Schizosaccharomyces pombe: one gene and its partners. The gene in region 2 interacts genetically with the main gene of each other region. Each region holds a gene or a part of one and is shown on either strand. Other genes may lie near its edges.

Region 1 (5,276 bases), 470 kb from region 2:
GTCATTCGCTCCAGAACCATTCATAACCCGATAAGCATGGGGGATCGCTGACCCTGAAGGAGAGCGTGCACGTTCAGCTATGCCAGAATCGTGAAGAGTCTTAGCAAGACTAGCGTTACGCGCCTGTCCATTTCTTCGGGCGACACGATTTTCGAAGTTTCGGTCGTATTTCATATACATGTTATCACGATATACACTCATTTTTTAGAAAATAATTAAAAGAAAATCCAAAAAAAAAAGAAAAGGGTTTAAAGTAAGAGCGAATGGAGAAGCTCAGCTAAATTTTATCAGCAGTATTACTTTGCAAACAGTAAAATGTAGCAATCGATACAGAATATTGTATCAGATTTAAGACTTTCCTTTTTTAACAACGATTTGAAATTAAAGCGAGGAAATGTGAGTTATTGAAAGAGGCGTCGACAACACAAACAAATTATAAAAATAATGTGTGGTATGCCAGCAAAATGAAATAATCAACAGTTTCACTAACCTGTAGTACAGTACAAGGGCTATTACCAAAAGAAGAAAATGGCTTTACCACACAACCCACAAATACTAAATAGGATTTGTGGATAAATCTCCTTCAACAACGATTCTAATGGAAAAGAGTCAATACGGTTTTGGAGCTTTTTTTGCGTGTTCGAAACTTTGATGCCAAGTTTTAGACGCCACACAAACTTGCCTTCAGCTTCTGCTAAGTTCTAAAATTATCAAGCTCTACTAAAAAGGCGATATTATTGTTTTCGTATCAATTCAAAAGACAGAAAACCAATCCTCACAAGATTGTTAAGTGCTCTCTCTATAATTAAGTTCAAATGCAACAAGGGTAAGGCAGAGAGTAGAGACTATGGTTTTGCCTGTGCTTATGTCTGATTTTTAGATATTCTAATGTAGTAAATGGGAGACGGAAAGTAGGTAAATGCCGCGAAAGAATTGTTTGCAAAACTCACACTTGGGAGTGACGCCATGCAACGTAATAAAGCAGTCAAATGTACCGATACACAACCACCCAAAACGATAAAGTATATTAATATAATGACGCTACGTCTCACTATACCCCGAATTTCAATGATTCCTCCATATCAGTCAGTGTAGAAAAAAAAGACGAACTGGAGATGGAAGAACAGTTTCCCACCATCTTTGGCATTTTCGGCCATTTCCTAATAAGCGCAGCAATTCCTGATGGCTGTAGCATTGCACATTGGGAGGGAAGAATGATACTCTTTTTGCAGATATTTATTTCGATATCACTACATAGGGCCTATCCTAGTCATTGGAAAGGTGCCAATTTCCAGCGATATTCTCCTATTTTTAGAAATAATTAAAAGCTTTGCACAAATTTCATTCCTACCTCACTTATTTCGTACATCTCAGAAGTTTGATGAACTTGGGAAATCCCAACATATGACAAATGCAATGGGAAAGATAATTGATAGTTTTCCAACGAAAAAGTGGGATTTAATATGTATATGAGAGAGGATAGTAAAATGTGCCAAATTTTGGGTTAACTAGAGGCAATCTAAAGTATGAAGTAAGTGAACTACTAGACAAACATCTACAGAAACAAAGTATGGAAATAAATGAAGATAGACAAACGAAAAGCATACTATTTCGAAAACGAATCAATATTTAGTCAATTTTTAGATCCAAAATCCATTCATTTAAAAACAGACCATGCCATCTATTTGGAAGCAAAACTGTAGTTATTCACCTCAAAGCGAAAGTATAAGGAAAAAAAAATAAGCCGAGACAATTAGGTTACTAAATACGTCTTCTCATGGTTTCGGAGAAATGAAAAGGGAAAAAAAATTAAATGTATACAAATATATGTATATGTATATGTGTGTTTGAGTCTGTCTATATGTATGTATAATAAAATAAAAACAGAAAGAAGAACAAAAAAGATTCAGAACAAAGAATCAATCAAAAATCCATCTGTCTATATAATAAACCAAAATCTTTTCACTTCAATTTCACCACCGACTAATTCGAAGTAACGGCATTGATAGCTTCGGCAAAGTATCTTACATTGGAAGTGTTGAGACCGGAGATGCTAATACGACCATTCTTAGTGAGGTAAATGTGATACTGTTTAGCCAAAACATCAACTTGCTGGGGATTTAAACCAGTATAACAAAACATACCAATTTGGTCAGTGATATGCTTCCAGCTGTGTTTATTCTTAAGGTCCTTTTCAAGGATGTTGCGAAGAGCCTTACGCATACTCTTAAGACGTTCGGACATGCCTACAACTTCACCAGCCCACTGTTCACGAAGTGCAGGGTTGCTCAATATATGGTTGGCAATTCTGGCCCCATTGACGGGAGGGTTGGAATACAAAGCACGAATGAGAATCTTAGTTTGGCTTTCGATACGAGCGGCTTCCTCAGCATCGTTGGCTAAAATGCTAAAGCAGCCAGCACGTTCACCATATAGACCCATGTTTTTAGCAAAGGATTGGCAGAGTAACATGGGGACATTGCTGGAGGCGAACAGACGAGTGGCATAAGCATCACGAGCAAAATCACCACTGGCAAATCCTTGGTAAGCCATGTCTAAAAGAGCAAAATGGTTTTTCTTTTGCATTGTTTTGAGGATATCATCCCACTGAGCTTTCGTAGGATCTACACCAGTTGGATTGTGAGCACAAGCATGCAATAATATAATAGAGCCATCAGGAGCTGAAGTTAAATCGGACAACATGCCTTTAATGTCCAACCCACGAGTAGCAGGATCATAATACTTGTAGGACTTAACGGTCAAGCCAGCTCGAGAAAATACATTCTTGTGATTTCCCCAAGTAGGGTCAGATACGTAAATAGTCTTTGATGGATAAAATGAAGCAAGGAAATTAGCTGCTATACACAAGGCACCGGTACCACTAATGGATTGAGCAGAAACCAGCCTATCCTTTATAGACTCGTAAACATCGCCATAAGCCAATTTTGTTGCTTGCACACGGAAACTGGGAATTCCTGTGATGGGTGCATATTCTTTGTCGAGTTTCTGACTCAACAGCTCAGTTTCTGCCTGACGAACACTGGGCAGAACATAAGGCTTTCCGGCATCATCACGATATGTACCAGCACCCAAGTTCATTTTCTTAACATCTCCATCCTTTTTATAGGCCTCTGTAATACCAAAGATGGGATCCGGTGGTCCCATAGGTACATCTGCCCAAACCTTGAATCCACGCTTGCTCTGACTTGCCAAGCATTTTACTCCATGGTAGGAAACGTTGGTTTTTAACGATGCAAATGTATTTGGATGCAAACAACGCAAATTCCTGGCCAACATCGTCGAAATCAATATTCTTCCCAAAGTTATTTCTGGGAGATTGGTTAAAGGCTCTTCACAGGCTCGCAATCAATCGAATCCTGCTAATATATATACGTTCTTATCATGAGAAAACCACGTGGTTCAATGTATCTGCTTACCGATCGATAACATAATCCGAAGCTGTAAGATGTCAAAATTAGATAACGACGTTTATTGTTTCTTTCGTTATCGTTCACTTGTAGAGCTGTTCCGAAAAAACATTAAAGTAGCATAGCGAAAGCTATAGTTTTGTAATCGCAACGTAGTTTAGCAACTAGTAAACAGTAACTCGTTAATTACCAATATTTATCGTAAGTAATTAAGGTAGTTAATAAATTAACATTAACAACAATAAAAATTGTAAAATAGCTGTTAGACTTGTAGAAAATATTTTTCAATAACAAGAAGTCATTCAATAATCATAACTTGAATAAGTCAATTTAGACCTTCGAACACTGTTTAAGTCATCAGACTGTCTTTAGTAGCTGCTTCTATAGCTTTCACTGTTGTTGCTGTAAAAGGTTGCAGAAGTAAGTTATAGAACAATAATTCTATTCATATGGAGGACTTTTATTAAGAAAAAAAACGAAATGAAGCCTACAGCACCCCGGATTCCCATGTTGTCTCCAACCATAGTACTAACGAGGCCCTCAGACGCTTAACTGCAGTGATCGGACGGGAACTGGTGTTTTCGCCTAGGTATGGCCGTAGACACCTAGTAAAATACTTTATAGCTTATATAATTTTATGCTATGTAATTTTGAGAGGAATGTGTGTTGTTTGAATTGGGATAAATATTCTTTAGCAATGATTCCTAAGTAAAAGATAGATGCAAGGTTAAATCACTTTAGCAAAGTCTATGTTCTAACAAGAAACACGACGAATGCACGAAAAGAGATCCGTACTCCTTTTAATAAAAATCGATGGCAATTGTTTAACCTTTTTTAAACCATTATTACTTCTACAACACTTTATATTGAGGAAAATTTACTTAAAGTGAGGTCTCTTGAAATGGAATGGTTGATTCACGCGTTGGTAACAGTAGATACATTTTCGTGTTCGAAATGTAAACAACTCAAGAAAATTAGGATGTGTTTTTACCATACACTATTCAAAAATTACAATATCGCAATACTATGTTACGCAATATGTTAGAGTGCCTTGAGCCACCGGTTGCTTGCATAGTGTCGTGGTGGAAAACGAGTGAAGCTAGATATTACCAATACCAGATCACTTTCACTGAGAGTATCGATCCAAAAAATGGTAAGTATTTGAGTATTTTGAGGCTGAAAACAAGACTGAATTAAATGTAATTTTTTCATCTATCGCTGAATAGTCTTGTTTTCACTCTATCACATTCTTTTCATGTTTTAATATTTAATCCTAACTCTCCTATAGGGACAAGCACAATCTGGGAATTTTTCTAATTTCGGCGATGGTGCCAACGGCGACAATAAAAAAGACCAAAAGAAAGATAAGCCCAAATACGAACCTCCAGTTCCCACTCGAACTGGTCGTCGTAAGAAGAAGGCTCAAAGTGGTCCTGATGCATCGGCAAAACTACCTACTGTTATCCCAACGACTCGTTGTCGTTTAAGGTTGTTAAAAATGCAAAGAATCCACGATCATTTGCTTATGGAAGAAGAGTATGTGCAAAACCAGGAACGTCTTAAGCCACAGGATGAACGAACTCAGGAAGAACGCAATCGTGTAGATGAAATTCGTGGTACTCCAATGTCTGTAGGAACTTTAGAGGAAATTATAGACGACGATCATGCCATCGTTTCCACAGCTGGACCAGAGTACTATGTTTCCATCATGTCATTTGTCGATAAAGACATGTTAGAGCCTGGTTGCAGTGTACTTCTCCATCACAAAGCCATGAGTATAGTAGGCTTACTTCTTGATGATACCGATCCAATGATTAATGTTATGAAACTCGACAAAGCACCTACAGA
Region 2 (5,277 bases):
ACCGGAAGAGAATTTTTGGTATTCAAAAACTTTCCCTCCGTGATGATGATAATGACAGTATTCCTCGTTAGGATCACTGTGCCATATTGAATTCATCACCTTATAATCATGGTGTCTATCTTTGTCTTTGAGCAGGCTGTTTTATTCCGCTTGAAACTCCTTCACTCTCAAAAATATAAACAGTCTATTGCAGCTTTGTTACTAATTTTGTCAAAGATGAAACTAATCATTTATTTCCCGGTACTTTAGAAACCCAACCATTAATGACTTTTTGTTCACTTATTTGTGACGTCGTTTTTCCCTTTTATTTTTCCCGTTAGCCTTTACTGGAATCAAGGTCGCCCGCCTTCTGCTTTATTTCATTGCTAGTAATGGATGCCATAGCGGCAATTGCCAAAATTTTCTCCTAAAAAAAACTGTTCCTTTTATATAGGATTTGCGCATCATGATTTGCTTTCCCAAAAAACAACGGAATCTGTACGACCTTTTTTGCAGGTATTTGTAAAGGCTTTCCCTTTCTATTGTAAAACTTCATTCGCGTCTCGAATATCATCTTACATATTTTTTCTGATTTATAAAAATATGCACATAATTTCATATTCGACCGCTTTGCATTTCATTATAAGACGCTTCTACTTGAAGAGAGCTATCCTTGTGCACGAATGTTGTTTAATTGTTGCAGGATACAAATTCATGACTGATGTATTTATTCATCTATTTTGTCTTGGTTAGTTAGTTTTGTGATTTCATTGGGATGTTCCCTAATAAAGGAAATTACTCTACCACAGATATACTCGTTCACTAGTAAAAGTAATATTTTTAAGTAATTAGCTGTTCTATTTATATATTTTTCTAGTTGTAGTACGGGTGTATATGCATGCATGTATGTATAACAAAATGTTTCAAGCTGTGAGACTATAAAGCGTGCAAGAAAAGGGAGCACAAAGATCGCCAAATATTATATGCAAAACAGTAAATGAAGGACTAATGCAAATGAGTATTTTTTATGGAAATTAAACGAGCAAACAGAGATTCGACAGTAGCCAGCAAAGCTCAAAAGATAGCAATAGCTAATTTATGTAAAAATGAGAAAACGCAATGAATGATTTGTATGCAAATGTTACCGTAAAAAGGCTCAATAAAACCAGCTGCTGCCAATGTATTAGTTATGGCGATTATCATCAGACTTATGGTCTATAGCAGCAGTTTCATTATAAGAATGATCATGGCGCTTTTTGTTAGAGGTTTGAGAGGATGAAGAGCTACTAACATTGAAAGAACCATTGTCATTAGATGGAACGGTTTGGGCTGGTTGCGGGATGTTGACTGTTGGGTTTGTTGGATGAGAGCGGCGTCGGACTTTCTGACGGAAGTTTAAAACTTCATCTAAAATGACACGGCGTAACTCATTTGCATCCTCAATGTATTCAAAGCTGAAATCAAAGACGGAATCACACACAGGTTCGTCAGAGGGATCATGCCAAACAGCTAAATAGGGATGTTCTAAAGCATCGTCAACCGAAATACGTCTGTTGGGGTCGAAAGCCAAGAGCTTAGCAAGCAGGTCAAGAGCCAAAGGATTGGCTTTAGGAAAATTGGTTTCAAAAGGAATAGGTCTTTGCTTTGGCAAGCTTCGAACATACTCCTGTGCACGGGAACTGCTTATATGAGACAGGGTTTCCTCATCAGGTGTGCCAAGTTGATGCAAAATTAAATTTAACTGATGAACAAAATCTTTTCCCTTAAACAAAGGGGTTCCACCTAATAGCTCTGCCAAAATGCAACCAACACTCCAAACATCAATACCTTTATGATAGCTGCTGAACGAAAGCATAATTTCCGGAGCTCTGTACCAGCGCGTTGCCACATACTCCGTCATAAAACCAGGATTTTCTTCTGGATTTTCAGAACATCCGCGAGCGAGGCCAAAATCGCAAATTTTCAGCTCACAATCAGCGTTAACTAAAAGATTACCTGGCTTTAAGTCACGATGAATAACGTTGGCAGAATGAATATACTTTAAACCACAAAGTATCTGGTAAATGAATGATTGAAAATGCGCATCCGTTAATGGCTGACCGGATTTAATAATAGCATTCAAATCGGCCTCCATCTATTATAATAGTTAGTAAGTAATTATACAAATATTTCCGTGACTAAAACAGACACCATATGTGGATCATCGCGTAACATACCAACTCTTCGTAAATGTAAACTTCATTAAAATTGTATGGATTTATAATGTCGAGATCGTAAATGCAAGTAATCTACCATGTTAGTAAAGTTTATAAAAAATAGGAAAGACATCACTATGCAAATGTAAGACAATGAGCAGTTCAAATTTTTTAATCAACCGAATTCCAAACATTATATCAAGATTTATAAAGGAAATACTTTTCAAGGATGATTAGAACTCATTTCTCATAGAAGACTTTTCATTGTATAAAAATTTGCATTTTCATCAAAATGCACCTCGTTAATACATCCCGGTGATGATGAGTAATCAATCACAGGAAGCCGTTTTTGCATAAAAGACTTACGTTACGATGATTACGAAAATGAATCAGCAGTTTTATCTCTCTCAAAGCTCTTTTTGTAAGAATGGATTTAGAAAACACATTCGTAATTTTTTTTATGGCTACAGCCTCTTGATCTTTGCTAGCCACGTTTCTTGCTGCACAAACAATGCCGTAAGCGCCTTGACCCAACTCCTTCACTACCTAAACTATGTTAGTTTTCCTAAAAGTTCAAGCAGATGCGATTTTCTGTCAAGTAAACAAAATGTTTTGCAAATGCAGCAGTTACCCAAATATCTCATACCTTAAAATTAGGCTCGACATACATCTCCTGGTTAAACACACGGTAAACACGATGTCGACGGTCCATCCTTGCGACTTATAGCATGCAACTTGAATTTTTAGCTGTTTGGCAAAAGGGATGTGGAAAAAACTACAGTACATCACTTGTAGTGATTAACGATGCCTTATATTTCACTATTTGAATGCAAGTCGGTTAGATTTGAAGACTATCAGATGGAATTTATGGTATTAAAGAATATGCATACAAATCTAATAAATATATGAGGAATACTAAAAGAAACTAGGTCCAGAGTTCAAGACTACCAAAAGCGTCAACAATAAGCACTATAGCGTACGGTTGGTACAAGAAGGCCATGTCAACGATGGGGTGCAGACGATTTTCGCTAGGTAGATTCTTTTGCTGTTGAAGGAATAGAAGAGGCCTTGACACTCCCGAAGACTTTGGGCGTACATTCTGTTGTTCAGAGACTTTTTGGTAGATAGGAGGTTTGTTATGTATTAAAGATAGTTTTGAACTCTCGGAGTCGTTGGTCACCGACGAACTAGCAGAGACATTGTGGGGATTCCAAATAAACGCATGAGGGCTTCCAGAAGCGGCAATGAGAAAAAGTGGCTCTCGTTCGACAGAACCTGCAGACGGACCTCTGTACCTATAGATTGGACTAGATATACAAGGCCAAGGAGAGTCGAATTTGGTATTCAAATCTCTTAATCCCATGTCATTGCCAGAATCTATATCAAACTTTTTTTTTTCATTAAAAGCATCAATTCCAACAGATACCGGAATCGGACTGGTGAGTGAAGAATTCCAGTTTTCTAAGAAAACCTCTTCGGTTTTCCCTTTTTCAACGTCAAAATTTACTATGCCTGAAGCGGATCTGTGACTCGCTGGAACTGCATCTTCAAGATTAACTTCTTTATTATCCAAGTTGGTAAGGACGCTAAAACTGATACTGACTGTAGTGCTTCCAAACGAGTTTAACATTCCGTGATTTTCTAAAGGATTGATGGGAATAGTAGAGTTAATTGGCTGAGTACTACTTGAACTTGTACTTGAGCTACCTGGAACCTTGGTAACGGGACTATTGTTATTTCCGGAAGTATACTCATTAACGTTGCTACGTTTTTTGGTAACATCTAAAAGAAGATGCATCTGATCAATCCTGGCTGGCATATGCCAAGAGCATGATAATGTCCCAAAGCGGAGGTCCCAAAGTAAGAGCCATCCTTTGGTAGTCCCAATTAAAGCCCAATTACAACCCTCAGAAACTACTACACTAGTAGCTGACCCACACTGTAATGGTAATTGGTCTGATGACAAAACCCTCATCATTCCCACGTCTAAGTATACGATGCGTGACCATTTTGTAACAACGACTAGACGGATACTCCCGTCGTGAAATGTAGAAGCTTCCATGGAGGTTACAGAATCACTGAAATCCAAATTGGGAATACGACCAGCCGAAATTAGAGTATGCCGCTGATTGTTAACGTCAAGTCTGTGAACTTCCACAGAGCCATCTTGAGTAACAGAAGCAAAAGCGTATGTATTACCTAGAAAGCATCCATTGACCACAGAAAATCTATTCCTCTCGCCATTACGTCGCGTATGCCCATAACTTAATCGGCATTCACATCTCATAGTTGAAATATGACGAACACTTTCAACTAATTGCCATGCTCTTACAACACCGTCAGATCCCAAGGTAACGAAAAAAGATGAATCTGGACTAACCAAAACTTTCTTCGTACCTCCATCAAGAAGGCTTCCTAAATATATCTGAGCAACTCGTGATCCTTCTGGATGCCATTCATGAGTCTGAACTATTTTATTCGCAGCCTTCGCAGACACCTTTGTTCTACGACGCAAAGGTATATTAGAAGCCCAGCTTGGTGAAACAGCAGCACCAACGTTAAGTGTCGAAGCCGCTGCTTCTGCATAAATTTTATTTAAATAATTTAAGACGCATGGATTAGTTCCAGTATACGATGATTTTTTTGCGCCATTTTGCCTCGTGGTAAGCTTTTTCAAATCGATATGAGTAGTAAATGATCTTTGGCTTCGAATACCGGCAACATTAGTTGTATCATTCGTTGAAACCCTAGAAGAGATCAACGGTGCGAGGCTTTTCCCCTTCGATTCTTTAGCATGTTTGTCAGAATCTTTAGAAGAGACTATTGCTTCTACAGAGGAAGGCTCCAAAGTATTATTTGTGAGTAAGGGGTTCTCAGTATTATAAGAATTCAACCCACCGGTATCGTCCGTTGGTTGAGTGACTGTGGGATTGTGTGTGTCAACCTTGGAGCTAGCAGTGTCTGAAGGTAGTTTAATTTCAGGATTGTCCGTTTGTCTGTATACATCATGAGTACCAGTAATGGTCTCTCCATTATCAGAATTAGACTCCCTATTAATATCAACTTTGATATCTGATTGTGAAACGTCTTTTGGTTTTGTGGT
Region 3 (4,191 bases), 2.3 Mb from region 2:
TATATTTGCGATTTCGGTCAATTGAATCAAGATGTTTTCGCAGTCCCTTCGTGGCATCATAAATAATGACTTCCGCAGAGTCTATAGGTCCTTTACTTTCAAGAAAAGCTGCACTTTGCTTAGCAACGGATAATGAAGGATACAAAAACATATCGTAGTCCTTTAGCTTCAAAATCTCAATCTCTGGAAATTTCTTTATGATGCTAATGCAATCCTTGACGTGTGCGCTTATAAAGAACCTCGGATATCCTGACTTCATTTTAGTAGTTACATTAGGATCTCCCTCTTCATATCCAACATTGGATTTCCATGTAGGTAAAGTAACTGAAATGGCATGTTCAGTATCAGCTGGAATTGATGAACCGACCTCTGTAGGTGGATTGACTAGGTAAGAAATATTTGCAGACATTTAAAGAATTAAATAAAATTGAGATTTATATATAAATAGCCATAAACAAAAGTTTTGGGTTCTTGCAAAAATCTGGAGTGAATTGTGTGTGGAATTGGGACAACCATCTCTTTAGACCCAATAGGCGTGCAGGACAGTTCTGTCCTCTATATCAAATCAGCTATCAGTTTGATTCATGAATTAATAACAAAAAATAGTACTGTTTTCTTTCTAGAATTTTACAATGATACATAAATCGAGTTAGGTACAACTTTATCAGATAGCCGTGTAGGAAAGCATCACACTTTGTCTAATACTCGTAATTGAAATTACATATATATATATATATATATATTTACAACCTAATATCGAATATGAAATTTGAACAAAGTTTAATACTAATCAAAAATCCCCGAAAAAACTTACGTTGAATAACTATTTTAATAAAATAATTAACAAAATTGTGGTGGAGGGGCTGTTGTTGGAACTTTTCCGGGAATGAAATCTTGAGCTTCAAATTGCTGAATCATTTCTGGGGGAAATGCGAGATTTTGATTGGAATTACTCATTTCTACTTGATCATCCAAAGTTTGGATAGAAGAAGCACCTATTGGATTAATCGGACCTGTCGATGATCGTTAGTCATATTCGTATACTAGCAAGGATACAAAGTAAAAAAACTTACCGTCAATTGTGTTAGAAGATCCAAACATAGGAGTTTGGATTATATTTTTGTTAGCAGGATTATCGTTAGAAAATCCTGAAGCGGATATTTTAGAGGTTACATTGGCAAATGGAGATTCAAAAGTAGTATTAGGCGGAACAAAAGGGCCTTGAGGTTGTTGCATAAAAGTAGCAGGGGGCTGAACAGTAAAACCATTTGGGTTCACTGGTTGTGTTAAAGATGTATGACCAAAAACTGGTTGTGAATTATTAGGAAGCGAGAATTGAGTATTCAAATTTTGAAAAGCTGATTGCTGAGGCTGATTCTGTATTCCAAAACCGCTGGCAACAGTAGGACCGAAAATCGAACTTGGATCATTCACATTTTGACTTTGTGAAAACCCAGAAGCAACTTGTGAAAACGAGGAGAATGATGAGTTAGGAATCCCTTGTCCGGAATTAACAAATGACGAATTTGGCTGAGATATTCCCCCAAATGCTGATGGCCCTGAGGTTGCCGAACCAAAACTAGACGAACCAAAAGAAGATGGGTTGTTTTGGACTGGATTACTTCCCGTAAATGAATTTGAGGATGTATTTTGAGAAAATGGAGACGCATTTAATTGCGATGTAAATGCAGAAGTCGTAGGGGCGCCAAAAATATCGTTTGCTTGCTGATTGTTATTGAAAGAATTATTGTTATTTGAAAAAGAATTGAAAGGACTATTTTGAGTTGGCTTGTTGAACTGATTAGACGTAACCGTTGAATTGCTAGTAGACTTATCAAAAATTGACTTATAATTTGTCTTTCCGACGAGTTTATTTCTCATTTCATCGAAAGCAGCAGCAGGCGACCGTTTAACGGCTGCTGCTTTTGCTTCTACATCATCCATCAACTGTTTCTGGCGTTGTTCATATGCTTGCATATTGTTTGTCGCTTTAGCCTGATATGCCCACCACCGCAATTCTTCAGGCGAAACATCGCCTTCATAAATTGATGGTAGATTCTCAACTACTGAATAACCTGTAAAAGGCCATTGTGGTTTTGCGTTTTTAAGATCGTCGTTAATATCCTTCATTCTTCTATTGGGAAGCAAATTATCTAAATCGCTTCTCTTCAAACGCCTTTGTACCCATATTGGAGGTCGTCCATTCTCTGGACGAAAGACATTAACCTTAGAAAATGCATTTTGTCCATTAGAAGGTACCGTATGTTGATTTTTACAATTGGTACCATACCTGCACCGATTTTGAAGGAAATACTTACAAACGACCATGTTGTTGAATAGTTGAAATGATATGCTAAAGATAAGTATAAAAATGTATCATAATCATATGTTATACTCCAAATTTTCTTATTTTTAGAGTGGGCGTCCCATTTGGAATCGTAGTGTGGTGTAGCGTTATTGCTCCAATTAATCATAAAGTAAAGGAATTCAAAGAACAATTATACCATCATTGGGAGTCTGATTTTTTAGTTGTTGATGATTCAGAAGGTAAAATAAATCCAATAATATTATGAATCCAATGCTTATAGGAGACATTTTCTTTTCGCCAACTGCGAGATATTAGCGCCTTCATGAATTTTACTGTAATTCCTTGTTCATCCAAGAATTCAAGTAAACTTGACTTGATAGAAGCTGGAACGTGCTTTGTTTTTCTGCCAGTGTACTTCTGTGATTTTTGTAAAATTAACCTCAAGTCAGATGAGAACGCTTGAGAGTTTTGAGGTGATTGAAAAGAAATGCTATCAAAATGAAGCATGCCCTTACAAAGTATTAAAGCACACAAAATTGTGCCATGGTTCTATAATTGTAAGTTATAATAACATGTTAAGATCTTACGTTAGTGAGTTGGACATAAGCAGGAATTGAATGCTGAAAGAACACTAGTTCATCAGATGTTTCGTTACCATTTTCATTTTCAGCACTATGCGTTATCGGCTTTGTTTGGACGTAACTTTTACGAGAGCTATATACGGGAACAGTAACGCGTATTCTAGCTACGTTAGTACTATTATATCGAAAGAAATTTAAAGGCTCTGCTGAAAGCATAATCTTAAACGTTGTATATTAGCCAACGCATAGACATGAAATCACATCGTTGAATTCAACAAACAATTGAGGAAAAATAGCTTACCTTTCCTTTGCCGTTTCTTTTAAAGCTGAAATGTAGTTAAGCGAAGGATCTTCATGGATTATAAAAGAATGAAGAGCCTTTTCGTATCCTTTTTTAGGTAATGTCTCATCAAGAACCTGTTTCACGTAACCCAGTTCAGAATCTAATTTCAACGCTAGTTGCTCCGTTAGGATACCACTTGTAAATTTTCGTTTACTACGAAACATATCAAAGTAAGAAAACCTCCTTTCGCAATTAAATAAAGGATATTTAAAGTTTCGTGCTGTAGAGATCGCTTTTCTGAGCATTTTGAAGTGCAATAAGCTGAAGAATAGAATTGTTACAAGCCGTCCAACAAAGATTTGCTTCTTCAATGGATTGATGAATTGTACAGATTATAAATATTTAATGCAATGGGGCATATGACAATAAGCACTTTAACTGAATTTGCTTCCTTATGAGAAGTACGCAAAGCAGTGACTTTAAAGTAATACAGCGGTTTTCACTAAAGTGCTTGTATACCATAGCAATGGATGAAGAAAATAATTAATGGAAAAATCATTATTGTAGACATCTGATTAAAGAAAAAAATAAAGAAATTAAGACTATGAAATTCTTTTTCCTGGTTTTTTAACGGCGTCGATTATAACCATAATGATGAAGATGCGGTTTTTGAATGAAATTGAAAAAATTGGCACAAAATTTTGAAAACATGACTAATAATAAACGTGATGGTAATTTCCGTTTGGACCATGCTGCATATAATACGGATTCGCATACCACAAACCATTCTCACGTTTGGTAAACGGACGATAAAACGCAGAATATGAATGGTTTATTTTAGCTTCAACATTGTATAGAGGGGGAAACTGGCATGTTTCTTTACGATTATAATGATTTCTACTTTTTCGGTGATTAATTTGTGGAATCCAAGTTTTAGCTCCGGGGTTCATGCGAGAAGTATTTGCTCGAACTTTCAAAGGAAGTTCTTTTCGGAGGTATTCTTCTCGGGCTTTAAGCGC

The links.
Region 1: mutations in pmk1 (region 2) and maa1 together harm fitness more than expected from each alone (negative genetic interaction), as found in Schizosaccharomyces pombe (one large-scale study listed by BioGRID).
Region 3: mutations in pmk1 (region 2) and amo1 together harm fitness less than expected from each alone (positive genetic interaction), as found in Schizosaccharomyces pombe (one large-scale study listed by BioGRID).

What each region holds. Positions count from the first base shown.
Region 1 is NC_003423.3:1,198,682-1,203,957, reverse strand, and holds maa1 (aspartate aminotransferase Maa1), read right to left. Parts: upstream 3,400-5,276; 5' UTR 3,298-3,399; coding exon 1,984-3,297; 3' UTR 821-1,983; downstream 1-820. Other genes in the region: histidine-containing response regulator phosphotransferase Mpr1, read right to left, coding at 1-201; 19S proteasome base subcomplex ATPase subunit Rpt2, read left to right, coding at 4,579-4,581, 4,717-5,276.
Region 2 is NC_003423.3:728,469-733,745, reverse strand, and holds pmk1 (MAP kinase Pmk1), read right to left. Parts: upstream 2,931-5,277; 5' UTR 2,887-2,930; coding exon 2,821-2,886; exon of another isoform or gene 2,721-2,820; coding exon 2,541-2,720; intron 2,268-2,540; coding exon 2,196-2,267; intron 2,114-2,195; coding exon 1,163-2,113; 3' UTR 794-1,162; downstream 1-793. Other genes in the region: orm1 (ORMDL family protein), read left to right, coding at 1-71; serine/threonine protein kinase Vps15, read right to left, coding at 3,100-5,277. UniProt on the Schizosaccharomyces pombe protein: Regulates cell integrity and functions coordinately with the protein kinase C pathway (pck1 and pck2). Involved the regulation of wall architecture, cell shape, cytokinesis in exponential and stationary phase, and metabolism of ions.
Region 3 is NC_003423.3:3,027,865-3,032,055, forward strand, and holds amo1 (nuclear rim protein Amo1), read right to left. Parts: upstream 2,362-4,191; 5' UTR 2,329-2,361; coding exon 1,074-2,328; exon of another isoform or gene 1,014-1,073; coding exon 841-1,013; 3' UTR 821-840; downstream 1-820. Other genes in the region: met3 (cystathionine gamma-synthase), read right to left, coding at 1-409; SPOM_SPBC15D4.11C (Mam33 family protein), read right to left, coding at 2,507-2,857, 2,896-3,049, 3,191-3,477; protein mug98, read right to left, coding at 3,886-4,191. UniProt on the Schizosaccharomyces pombe protein: Involved in the cell polarity process where it is required for the correct termination of microtubule growth at the cell ends during interphase.